Linked DNA regions of Macaca fascicularis. The main gene of each other region encodes a partner of the protein of the gene in region 3 in a complex. Links are inferred from orthologs where the notes say so. Each region holds a gene or a part of one and is shown on either strand. Other genes may lie near its edges. The genes, in order: KANK1, PDCD4 and EIF4A1.

Region 1 (4,256 bases), on a different chromosome or scaffold from region 3:
GGCTGGAGTGCAGTGGCATGATCACAGTTCACTGCAACCTCAAACTCCTGGGTTCAAGTGATCCTCCCGCCTCAGCCTTCCAAGTAGTTGGGACTACAGATGTATGTGCCACCACACCCGGTTATTTTTTATTTTTATTTTTATTTTTTATTTATTTTTTTTTTGAGACGGAGTCTGGCTCTGTCGCCCGGGCTGGAGTGCAGTGGCCGGATCTCAGCTCACTGCAAGCTCCGCCCCCCGGGTTTACGCCATTCTCCTGCCTCAGCCTCCCGAGTAGCTGGGACTACAGGCGCCCGCCGCCTCGCCCGGCTAGTTTTTTGTATTTTTTAGTAGAGACGGGGTTTCACCGTGTTCGCCAGGATGGTCTCGATCTCCTGACCTAGTGATCCGCCCGTCTCGGCCTCCCAAAGTGCTGGGATTACAGGCTTGAGCCACCGCGCCCGGCCGAAGGGTCCAATTTTTCAGACCCACTCTGCTGCTTCAGAATCTGCTCACCCTACAGTTACTCCATCTTAACAGTCCTCAGCTCCCACAAGCACTGCCCCTTTAGGCCATTCTCCCATCCCTCTCCCCAGTTCCTTGCACTGCCCCCAACTAGATCCTTTTCCATCCTCCTCCTCCCACCTGGGCTAAAAAGTTAATGTATGCACACACTAACTCAGAACTATTTATGAACAGACACCGATACTCATGAAATGAAACTAGTCTTCAATGTATCAATTCCAGTAGCCATTTGCCTGTGGTTTTTTGGTTTCTTTCCTTGGGGCCAGTTTGGATATTTAAAAAAATTATTTTTAAGCCTACAGTCTTTTTTCCTTCTAACATTCCCTGCCGAGAGCGCACACAAACACACACCCAGAACTCACTTTTGCTGAGATAGAACCTCGACTAGAGTGATTTATGGACTAGGCAAGTCTAGAGTCCAGAGAGCATCCCTGTGCCCTAAGGGGATAAAATGTATTCCCAATTTGTGTATCTCTAAAGGAGGCAATTATTCCTCTACTGGAAGCTTCTCTTCCATCCTTATTCATTTTAACCTCCCCATAGGACAGTCAATACTTAATTTTTCTTCCATTGCTTCAGCAGCACCTTTCCCCAAACCTAGTAACAGAAAAAGGACCGAAGGTAATAACCTCTCGTTTTCTCACTCAACCTCTATCTTGGAAAAACTTCCTAAGTACCTGCCTTAAAATGAGGGAGAAGGGCTGGGAGATATAAGAATGACTGCTAATCGGTATAGGGTTTCTTTTTGGGGGCAACAAAACAGAACTAGATAGTAGTGATGATTTCATAACTTTATGGATATATTAAAAACCACTGAATTTTACACTTTAGAAGAGTAAATTTTTATGTTTATTACACTTCAACTTTTTAAATAAAACGTGGCACTTCTCAACACTTTAGTAGAGAAAGTTTGATGAAAAGAGAAACTGGCAGATGAATAGCTAGTTAGCTGTTACACCACCTAAAAATGAACTTGAATAAACTCAGGAATCCAAAATAAGCAAACAGACCCTAATTTCCATTCAACTCCAGAGGTGGGGGGCAATGAAGGTGAGGAAAGGAATTGCACGATTATAGATCTGGATGATTAAGCTTCTTTATTAGTCTCGGGTATCAGGGTCTAATAGAATCCATTATTTAATAAGATGGGCTGACCCTCCGTAGAGGCCATGTGCAGAAAGCGAGCGCTGGGGGACGCCATAAATTGTTGTTAACGCTAACACGGCCAAGGCCTTCACTAGGTCATGCTCGTGCAGCACGGCTCGTGCTGACCTGCAAGAGTCACCAAGAACAGTTGCCTCTGAAAGTTCCATGGGACCCAGGTGAAGAAGACGAATGGTCAAGGGGCAGTGGCTGCTGCGAGTGCCACTGCGTGTTCGCCAAAGCGGCATGGAAAACGGGACATTCAGGGGCAAGCCCGCTTAAGGGCCCCTGCACCGTCCTTCGACCTGGAACAGCTGGTCCTCCGAAACCCACGCTGTCCGCGCCCGGCTGGGCTGCCCCCAGAGGCCCTCAGCGCCGCAGCGCCCACACACACCCCTCCCCCACCTCCCCGCCCTCCAACCCTGGCCGGAGCCATCTCGGAGTTGGCGGAGGGCGACCTGAAGCCACCTGCCCCTCTGGGGCCGAGGATAAAGGGGTCTTGACCGCCACTCCCTCCTGCAGAGCACAGCACCGAACTTCACGGAGAGCCGCTTCAGAGAGGGTCCCCCATTCCACCCTGGGCTGGGGAACGGCCTAGAGGCATCCAAAGGCCAGAGCTCCGGGCCGGGGTCGGGCAGGCGCCCGCACCTTCCCGCCGGCCGGCCCAGTACGAACTTTCTCGCTGCTCTGTGCCCAGCGCGCCTCTCCGTCTTCCAGACCGGCCGAGCTCCGCCGCTGCACAGCGCGCCAAACTCCGACGGCCGCGGGGCCGACACCACCTCTCGGACCCCTCCCTAGGACCGCCCCGAGGCCGCCGGGTTCACCCGGGCGAGCGGGAGCCCGCGGGGCTGCCCTCCGCCACCCCCACGGCCACCTTGCGACCCCAGCGCGCGCCAAGTTGGCTCGGCGCGGGGGCCAGCCTGAGGCAGCGGTAGGGGCCTGGCGCTCCGGGGCAAACCCTCAGCGAAAAGGGGCGCAGCGCAACCCTCCCACGTCACTCACCTTCAGCCGCTCTTCCCAACCTGCCAGCCGTTCGCTCGCTCCGCCGCGGACCCGGAGCTCGGGGAGGGGCGGGGCGCAGGGGGCGGAGTCGGCCCCGGCTGGCAAGCGCCAGAATTAAACCCTGAATCGCACAGGAGCCTTCGGGCTCTGCGGCCGCCGCCTGGGCGGGGAAGCTGGGGCAGACCAGCAAGCCTTTCACCCGGGGTGGGAGACAGCTGTGGCTGCGGCTGCACTCCGAAGCGGCGCGTGAGAACGGCGCGGCTGGTGAAGCCCTGACTGCTCCCTCAGTCCCGAGGACGCCCGGCTCTCCGCCGCGCGCTCTTTGTACCGCGGAGCCGGCAGCGGGCGGATCTCTGCGCCTGCGCGCCGCTGCAACTACACCAGGCCCACGAGGCACCTTCGTGCACCTTCGCCGCCTCGCCTGGCCCGCGGGCCTTGCCGCGGCAAGAATTAAGCAGAAGAGCTTCCTCCACCCCGGCTTGCTCCTTCTACCAACCTGTGTTTACCACCTCCATCCTCGCACACACACACGCAAGGGGAAAAGAAATCCACCCCACCGTGAGACGGTGCGGTCCTCCCATCTCCGACTGGGGCGGGCGGGGGGTCCTGGCAACGAGGATGGCCTTGCAACGTCCACCCCAGCGCGTTTGTACCGCCCCTCCCTCCACGCTGCTAAGAAGTTTGCTGACCGCGGATGAGAGAGGGACGGGAGCGTGCAGCGCTGTTTCCCACAGGTGCCTCATCAGCGGCCAGAAACCTCCCGCCTACAAGGGCACCTCCCTTGTGACCTCCGTGCATTCGTCCTGGCTCGGCGGCAGGACAGAGTCCTCAGTGGAAAGGGGAGGATGCGTGTTCAGAAGGTTCCAGGTGTCTAGGGGCTCCATAGAAGACCCAATGCCTGCCTCGGGGACTCAGGATTGAACTGGCTTCCTAGTTCAGTCCTAAATACGCGATTTGGAGCAATCCAGTAGGTACAAGAGAAATTAGTAGGGATTGAGAAGTTGTAACTTTAGTCTTTCAAATTGAAGGTAGCTAGAATAAACAGAAGAGCTTGGGAACAGAAGGAACGACTTTATAAAAACCAGGTATTGCTTAAAAAACAATGTCAGCTCTTCAATCAACTGATTTTCTTAAGGGGGAGAGTCCTCCCCTCACCCCCAAGCTCTCTAGCACCGCACACATCCAGCAGGGCGTTGCACACGCTTAGTCTTTTTTGCAAGTGTGCAAGTGAAGAGCCATCAAACTTTACAAGGCAACATGCTTGCCTCTGGGGAGAAGACGCTGCTTCCCCACAGTTCACAGCGAAGCACACCTGCAAATTCCTGAACTTGATGGCTCCTGACTGTTTAGGGAATAGGTAAAGGGCAGCTGGAAGAGATGTGAAGGCAGGAAACCTCATTTTGAATCTCAGCCCCTTTGCCAGCTCACTGGGTGGCAGTAAACAAACTCTTTCCTCCTCCTGGGCCTTTTTCATCTGTAGAATAGGGCATTGGATGCAGTAGATATTTTCTAAAATCCCCCCCCCCCACCACCACCACTCCGCCCCAAATGTCTACTATTCTATGAAAAGGAGAATTGTTTCCATGGTGATAAGGGATGAGATATCA
Region 2 (3,649 bases), on a different chromosome or scaffold from region 3:
CAAAAATGGTCAAGGGCTCTAACTACATTTTGAACTCCTTAACACTTAAGCTAGATACACATACACACACACACCCCTCATTAAAAGATTTACTAAAAATCAAAATTACAGTTACATGAAAAGATTATACTCAAAAATCAGAAGCACATGAACTACAAATCTTCTAGTTGCATGCCTTTTCTTAAAGAGATCTGCAGATAAGGAGTTTTTTTTGTTTTTTGGTTTCTTGTTACAGAATACCACAATACAGCCAGAAAAAAAAAAATCCACAGGAAATAAATCTGGCATTTTAATGCAATAAATCGCTTTTTTTTTTTTTTTTCTGAGACACAATCTTGTTCTGTCACCCATGCTGGAGTACAGTGGCGTGATCTTGGCTCACTGCAACCTCCGCCTCCTGGGTTCAAGCAATACTGGTGCCTCGGCCTCCTGAGTAGCTGGGATTACAGGTGCGCACCACCATGCCTGACTAATTATTATGTACTTTTAGTAGAAATGGGGTTTCACCATGTTGACAAGGCTGGTCTCGAACTCCTGGCCTCAAGCAATCCACCTGCCTCAGCCTCTCAAAGTACTGGGATTACTATCAATTTTCTTTTAAAACACGCATATGGGTAGTGAACGTCCTCACAAAAATCTAACACTCTGATCTACTCTAGTGCTCATAATTCCTAACTCATTATTTAAGACTATCTAGTTTTAATTTACTTATATAAAAGCATATTTATTGAATAGCTAAAAGACAGAAAATCTCATTTCAACAGCATTTGAAAATTATTAAATAATAATATGAGAGAAAGATTTCAGGCATTCCTTTGAAGTTCATAGATGGCTTGCTTATAATTATTCATGAAAGCCCTTTTAACAGACTCATTTTTTATCATATAATTTATAATAAAAGCTCATAAAGTCAAATATAAAAGAATTATTTCATTTTCCAATTACAGCTGTAAGACCGAACTTAATTTTTGTCCATAAAAATAACAGCTAGTAGCCACAATTTATTTCACTCAGAGGAATACATGTAAATTAAGTTAAAGACAATACCCAATCATTACCTCTTTAACAAGGTGATTGACAGATTGCTGCCCACCTCCAGAGCCCCACACACTATCTTTACGCTTTCCACCTTTAGACATGCTCAGAAGCACAGTAGCCTTATCCAGAGCAGCTCTACAGAGAAAGAAAAAAAATTTAAGTTTGGTAGCTGGACATACCTAAAGTTTACCAAATTATGGATAAAGCTTACAAAATCCTATATGCCCTAAATCTTTCACAAAACATAAAAGCAAAATAAAATTCAAAACACTTTTTCAAAACAAAAAGGAGCAAAAAAAGTTGATCCTCATGTTAATATTCTCATGCTTTATTTCATTTCTCCTTCAAGAAAAATCAAAACACATTACAAAATAACTGATCTACACTGAGAAGAAGCACTTCATATATAATTAACTTTCACCTAGATCCATGTCTTCCTACCCAGGAAGACCATTTCACTATGATGTGAAGTAGCCCTAGAAAATTAATATACAGACCTAAGGAAAACTAAGACATGGCTGAGTCCAAGTCTCCAAGAAGTCAAGAAAAATCATATAGCATAACTCCCAAATATCACATTTAGTTATTCCAAATATCATATTAATTATACTAAATCACAAGAGTGAAAAAGACATTTTCTGACTAAAATTCCTACAGTAGATAAATACAAAATAAAACTATAAATGAGGCCTCTCTTGTTAATGTTATCCATCTTATTAGAATATTAAACTACTACAGAATGCTAGAACCTGAAAACAGAACTTAAAAGATCTGTCCAATGGCTTTGTTTCATAAAGAAACTGAGGCCCAAAGAAGAGTGGCTTGACATGAAGGTAATTAATGATTTAGCTAAACTCCAGAACTTTTGCATTATAGTACTGTCCTCTTCCTGGTATGTCACGTCAACATTCTCTCCATTTTAACAGTGGAGAATATAGAGAAGTGACAAACAGATGTACAGAGTGTTTGATTAATGCCAAGTGTCATTTCAATATGATCCTGTAGAATTTTCCCCTATTTTGAAATTCTAAGCAGGAAAAGTGATTTACTTACCTAGCCTGCACACAATCTACAGTTCCTTTGTAACTATCAATATAGGTATTACATAAAATTCCATCTCCAACAGCTCTAGCAATAAACTGGCCCACCAACTGTAATAAGGAAAAAAAAAAAGAGCTATATAAAAAAATCTTAAATAACTTTTATAGGACACAATTTCTAAATACATAAATGATGATGATTGGCTGAAGTACACAGTCAGTACCTGAAAGATGCTGGAAGTTTTTTTAAAAAAAAAGCCTATGTAGTACCTGTTATGCCTGGCATACACTCCCACATCTTAACCTTCAAGTTAAGTGCCAGAGTGGGGGCCACCTCTGTTGTGCTCACTAATGAATTCCTACCACCTTGCACACTGCCTGAATACATAGTACATGATTTTTTTTTTTTTTTTTTTGAGACAGAGTCTCGCTCTGTCACCCAGGCTGGAGTGCAGTGGCGTGATCTCAGCTCACTGCAACCTCCACCTCCCGGGTTCAAGTAATTCTTCGGCCTCAGCCTCCCAAGTGGCTGGGACTACAGGCGCACGCCACCATGCCTGGCTAATTTTCACATTTCTAGTAGAGACGGGGTGTCACCATCTTGGCCAGGCTGGTCTCAAACTCCTGACCTCGTGATTTGCCTGCCTCAGCCTCGCAAAGTGCTGGGGTTAAATGAATGATTTAAGGTCAAGTGAAGTCTTCTTAAAAAAAAAAAAAGAGGAGGCCGGGCGCGGTGGCTCAAGCCTGTAATCCCAGCACTTGGGGAGGCCGAGACGGGCGGATCACGAGGCCAGGAGATCGAGACCATCCTGGCTAACACGGTGAAACCCCGTCTCTACTAAAAAATACAAAAAACTAGCCGGGCAAGGTGGTGGGCGCCTGTAGTCCCAGCTACTCGGGAGGCTGAGGCAGGAGAATGGCCTAAACCCAGGAGGCAGAGCTTGCAGTGAGCTGAGATCCGGCCACTGCACCCCAGCCTGGGCGACAGAGCAAGACTCTGTCTCAAAAAAAAAAAAAAAAAAAAAAAAAAGACTAGGTTCTCTCAAAAACTAATCAAAGGAATTTATCTTGTGGAGAAAGAAAAGTTGTATAGAAATAGCTGGAAGTATGTTCACAGCATTACTTATTATAAAAAATGGAAATTAGTGTCCAAAAATAAAGCTATGGTTCAATGGTATATATGTAAAATGGTATATTATGTGGCCACAGGGAAAGATATTTACCATATTTCATGGTATGAGAAAAATCAAGTTTACAAAATAGCATACATGGTATGATTCCATTTTTTTAATTTAAAAAAATTAAGGATTTATAGAAGTCATACACTGATATATACCCACAGAAAGGAGAATGGAAAACTTAACACCAGTAGCAGTTTTTGCTGGCCTTTCTTCTTTCCGGCTTTTATTTTTCAAAAATTCTACAATAAATATAAACTTATATAATCATTTTGTTACAGTACGTGTATTGGTATAAAAGGAAAAAATGTCTGCATTAGAATCACCACTCAATATCTCATACAGACTACTGTCTGTCATAAGTATAACAGAAACAGCATTTAGGAACTGACA
Region 3 (2,342 bases):
CAGGCGTCTGCCACCACGCCCAGCTAATTTTTTTGTATCTTTTAGTAGAGATGGGGTTTCACCATGTTAGCCAGGATGGTCTCGGTCTCCCAACCTCATGATCCACCCGCCTCAGCCTCCCAAAGTGCTGGGATTACAGGTGTGAGCCACCACGCCCAGCCGGACAGTCCTTTTTTCACCTTGGCTTAATGCCTAGAGCTGTTTCATGCCGGGGGCACACACAATTCTAATGCTGGACTTTTTCTGGGTCATGCTGCGACACTCATCTCAACTAGAGTATTGAGGCTCAGCATGTTTTTTAAATGTTCTGTGGCAGGTGCAATGATTATTCTGGGTGTGGATAATGTAAGAAGTTACAGCAGAGCTCCATTCTAAGGCACTTGGCTCTCAGTTTTCTCAGAGTGAACATGGCTCGTAGCTTTTGGTCCTCTGGTAGGAGTACAATAGGACATGGATATGCATCACCTGTTCTATAAAACTGGTTGCTGGCCGGGCGCGGTGGCTCACTTGTGTAATCCCAACACTTTGGGAGGCTGAGGCAGGCAGACCACTTGAGATCAGGAGTTGGAGACCAGCCTGGCCAACATAGTGAAACCCCATCTCTACTAGAAATATAAAAACTAGTTGGGCGTAGTGGCATGTGCCTGTTATCCCAGCTACTTGGGGGAGGCTCAGGCAGGAGAATTTAACCCAGGAGGCGGAGGCTGCAGTGAGCCGAGATTGTGCCATTGCACTCCAGCCTGGGCGATGAGCAAAGCTCTGTTTCAAAAAAAACAAAACAAAACTGGTTGCTGCATGACGAGGCAGTTGGTCAAATTAGCTTTCAGAAAGTTACGGGTTCTAAACATCTAGAGTAAGAAACTGAATTAATTATCTGAGCGGCCTTACTGTGAATCACTGTACACTCAGGAACCAGACTGAGTTGAAATCCTGTCTTTGCCACCTATTGACAGCACGATCTTAAGTGGATTTTAGCCTCTGCCTGTTTCTCAGCTGAATGTGAGTGTAATAATAGTGCATGCCCCAAAGTTGTTGGTTAGGAATAAATACATGAAAAACATTTAAGAATGGTGCCGGCCGGGCGCGGTGGCTCACGCCTGTAATCCCTGCACTTTGGGAGGCCGAGGCGGACGGATCACGAGGTCAGGAGATCGAGACCATCCTGGCTAACACGGTGAAACCCCGTCTCTACTAAAATACAAAAAATTAGCCGGGCGTGGTGGCGGGCGCCTGTAGTCCCAGCTACTCGGGAGGCTGAGGCAGGAGAATGGCGCGAACCTGGGAGGCGGAGCTTGCAGTGAGCCGAGATGGTGCCACTGCACTCCAGCCTGGGCGACAGAGTGAAGACTCCGCCTCAAAAAAAAAAAAAAAAAAAAAAAAAAGGAATGGTGCCTGGCACAGCTGTAGCTAATATGTGAGCACCTATCTTTCTCTGTGCTCAGATACAGAAGGTGGTCATGGCACTAGGAGACTACATGGGTGCCTCCTGTCATGCCTGTATTGGGGGCACCAACGTGCGTGCTGAGGTGCAGAAACTGCAGATGGAAGCCCCCCACATAATCGTGGGGACCCCTGGCCGAGTGTTTGATATGCTTAACCGGAGATACCTGTGTGAGTAATTCTGTTCTCCAACCCCTGGGTCACTTCGCTCTTGTGCATGCTTTCCAGTCTTTCAGTGTAAGCCAAAGTCATTCCCACAGATGCTGGTTTCCCTCTGGGGAAGAGCTGCTCTGTGATGGAGCCCATGCGTGTCATCTGAGCCTCTGGCTTCCCTGCCAGTGCAGCCCAGGCAGTGTCCTACTTCCCAGGGCTGTTTTCTGGCTTGGCGGGAACGTCCTGGGCAAAGGATCAGTCTTTGTACTCTGAGAGCAGACTACTCGGCCCCTCTCTGTTTTTTATCAACAAAGTTGGATACATCTCTCCTACATTTCCCTGATTATATGCTATATATTGGCTTTTTTTTCCTTCTCTAGCTCCCAAATACATCAAGATGTTTGTACTGGACGAAGCTGACGAAATGTTAAGCCGTGGATTCAAGGACCAGATCTATGACATATTCCAAAAGCTCAACAGCAACACCCAGGTGAGGGCGGCCTTGCTTGAATCGTTAATGATTCTGGAAGAAAAATATTAAGTGCCAGGGGAACCAAACTCTGGATTCTTGTCCTGAGCCTTTTTATGCATCCACTTCAGTTTTAGGTGTGGCTAGGGAAGGGAGCAGACCTTGGGAAGGATCCACTGCTCTAAGGCTGGCCTTTTTTTCCACTAGGTAGTTTTGCTGTCAGCTACAATGCCTTCTGATGTGCTTGAGGTGACCAAGAAGTTCATGAGGGACCCCATTC

Evidence for each region.
Region 1: the proteins of EIF4A1 (region 3) and KANK1 are in contact, whole or in part, in a crystal structure (PDB 7DDX), measured with the Mus musculus proteins. The link is inferred for Macaca fascicularis from reciprocal best matches to the Homo sapiens genes EIF4A1 and KANK1. Residues at the interface, in NP_659207.1 of Mus musculus: Lys99, Val140, Arg141, Val144, Gln145, Lys146, Leu147, Gln148, Met149, Glu150, Ala151, Arg168, Arg169, Tyr170, Ser172; in NP_852069.4 of Mus musculus: Gly1168, Asn1169, Asn1171, His1175, Tyr1176, Val1178, Asn1201, Lys1202, Ala1203, Tyr1205, Met1209, Leu1210, Leu1213, Ala1214, Ala1215, Gln1240, Ala1241, Leu1248, Ser1251, His1252, Arg1254, Asp1273, Glu1274, His1285.
Region 2: the proteins of EIF4A1 (region 3) and PDCD4 are in contact, whole or in part, in a crystal structure (PDB 2ZU6), measured with the Homo sapiens proteins. The link is inferred for Macaca fascicularis from reciprocal best matches to the Homo sapiens genes EIF4A1 and PDCD4. Residues at the interface, in NP_001407.1 of Homo sapiens: Gln75, Thr109, Arg110, Glu111, Ile135, Gly137, Val140, Thr158, Gly160, Arg161, Asp164, Glu186, Leu188, Ser189, Arg190, Gly191, Phe192, Gln195, Ala214, Thr215, Met216, Pro217, Glu240, Leu241, Thr242, Asn280, Thr281, Arg282, Arg283, Thr329; in NP_055271.2 of Homo sapiens: Pro170, Gln173, Glu174, Glu177, His178, Glu183, Glu186, Met187, Asp190, Leu209, Glu210, Lys212, Glu249, Leu250, Leu252, Asp253, Thr254, Pro255, Arg256, Gly320, Gln321, Gln322, Ser323, Val324, Leu327, Glu348, Lys352, Glu355, Val356, Pro357.

What each region holds. Positions count from the first base shown.
Region 1 is NC_088389.1:98,618,753-98,623,008, forward strand, and holds the start of KANK1 (KN motif and ankyrin repeat domain-containing protein 1), read right to left. Parts: upstream 2,948-4,256; 5' UTR 2,650-2,947; intron 1-2,649.
Region 2 is NC_088383.1:119,976,273-119,979,921, reverse strand, and holds part of PDCD4 (programmed cell death protein 4), read right to left. Parts: intron 2,190-3,649; coding exon 2,092-2,189; intron 1,174-2,091; coding exon 1,059-1,173; intron 1-1,058. UniProt on the Homo sapiens protein: Inhibits translation initiation and cap-dependent translation. May excert its function by hindering the interaction between EIF4A1 and EIF4G. Inhibits the helicase activity of EIF4A. Modulates the activation of JUN kinase.
Region 3 is NC_088390.1:7,624,677-7,627,018, forward strand, and holds part of EIF4A1 (eukaryotic initiation factor 4A-I), read left to right. Parts: intron 1-1,442; coding exon 1,443-1,611; intron 1,612-1,727; exon of another isoform or gene 1,728-1,870; intron 1,871-1,973; coding exon 1,974-2,083; intron 2,084-2,269; coding exon 2,270-2,342. UniProt on the Homo sapiens protein: ATP-dependent RNA helicase which is a subunit of the eIF4F complex involved in cap recognition and is required for mRNA binding to ribosome.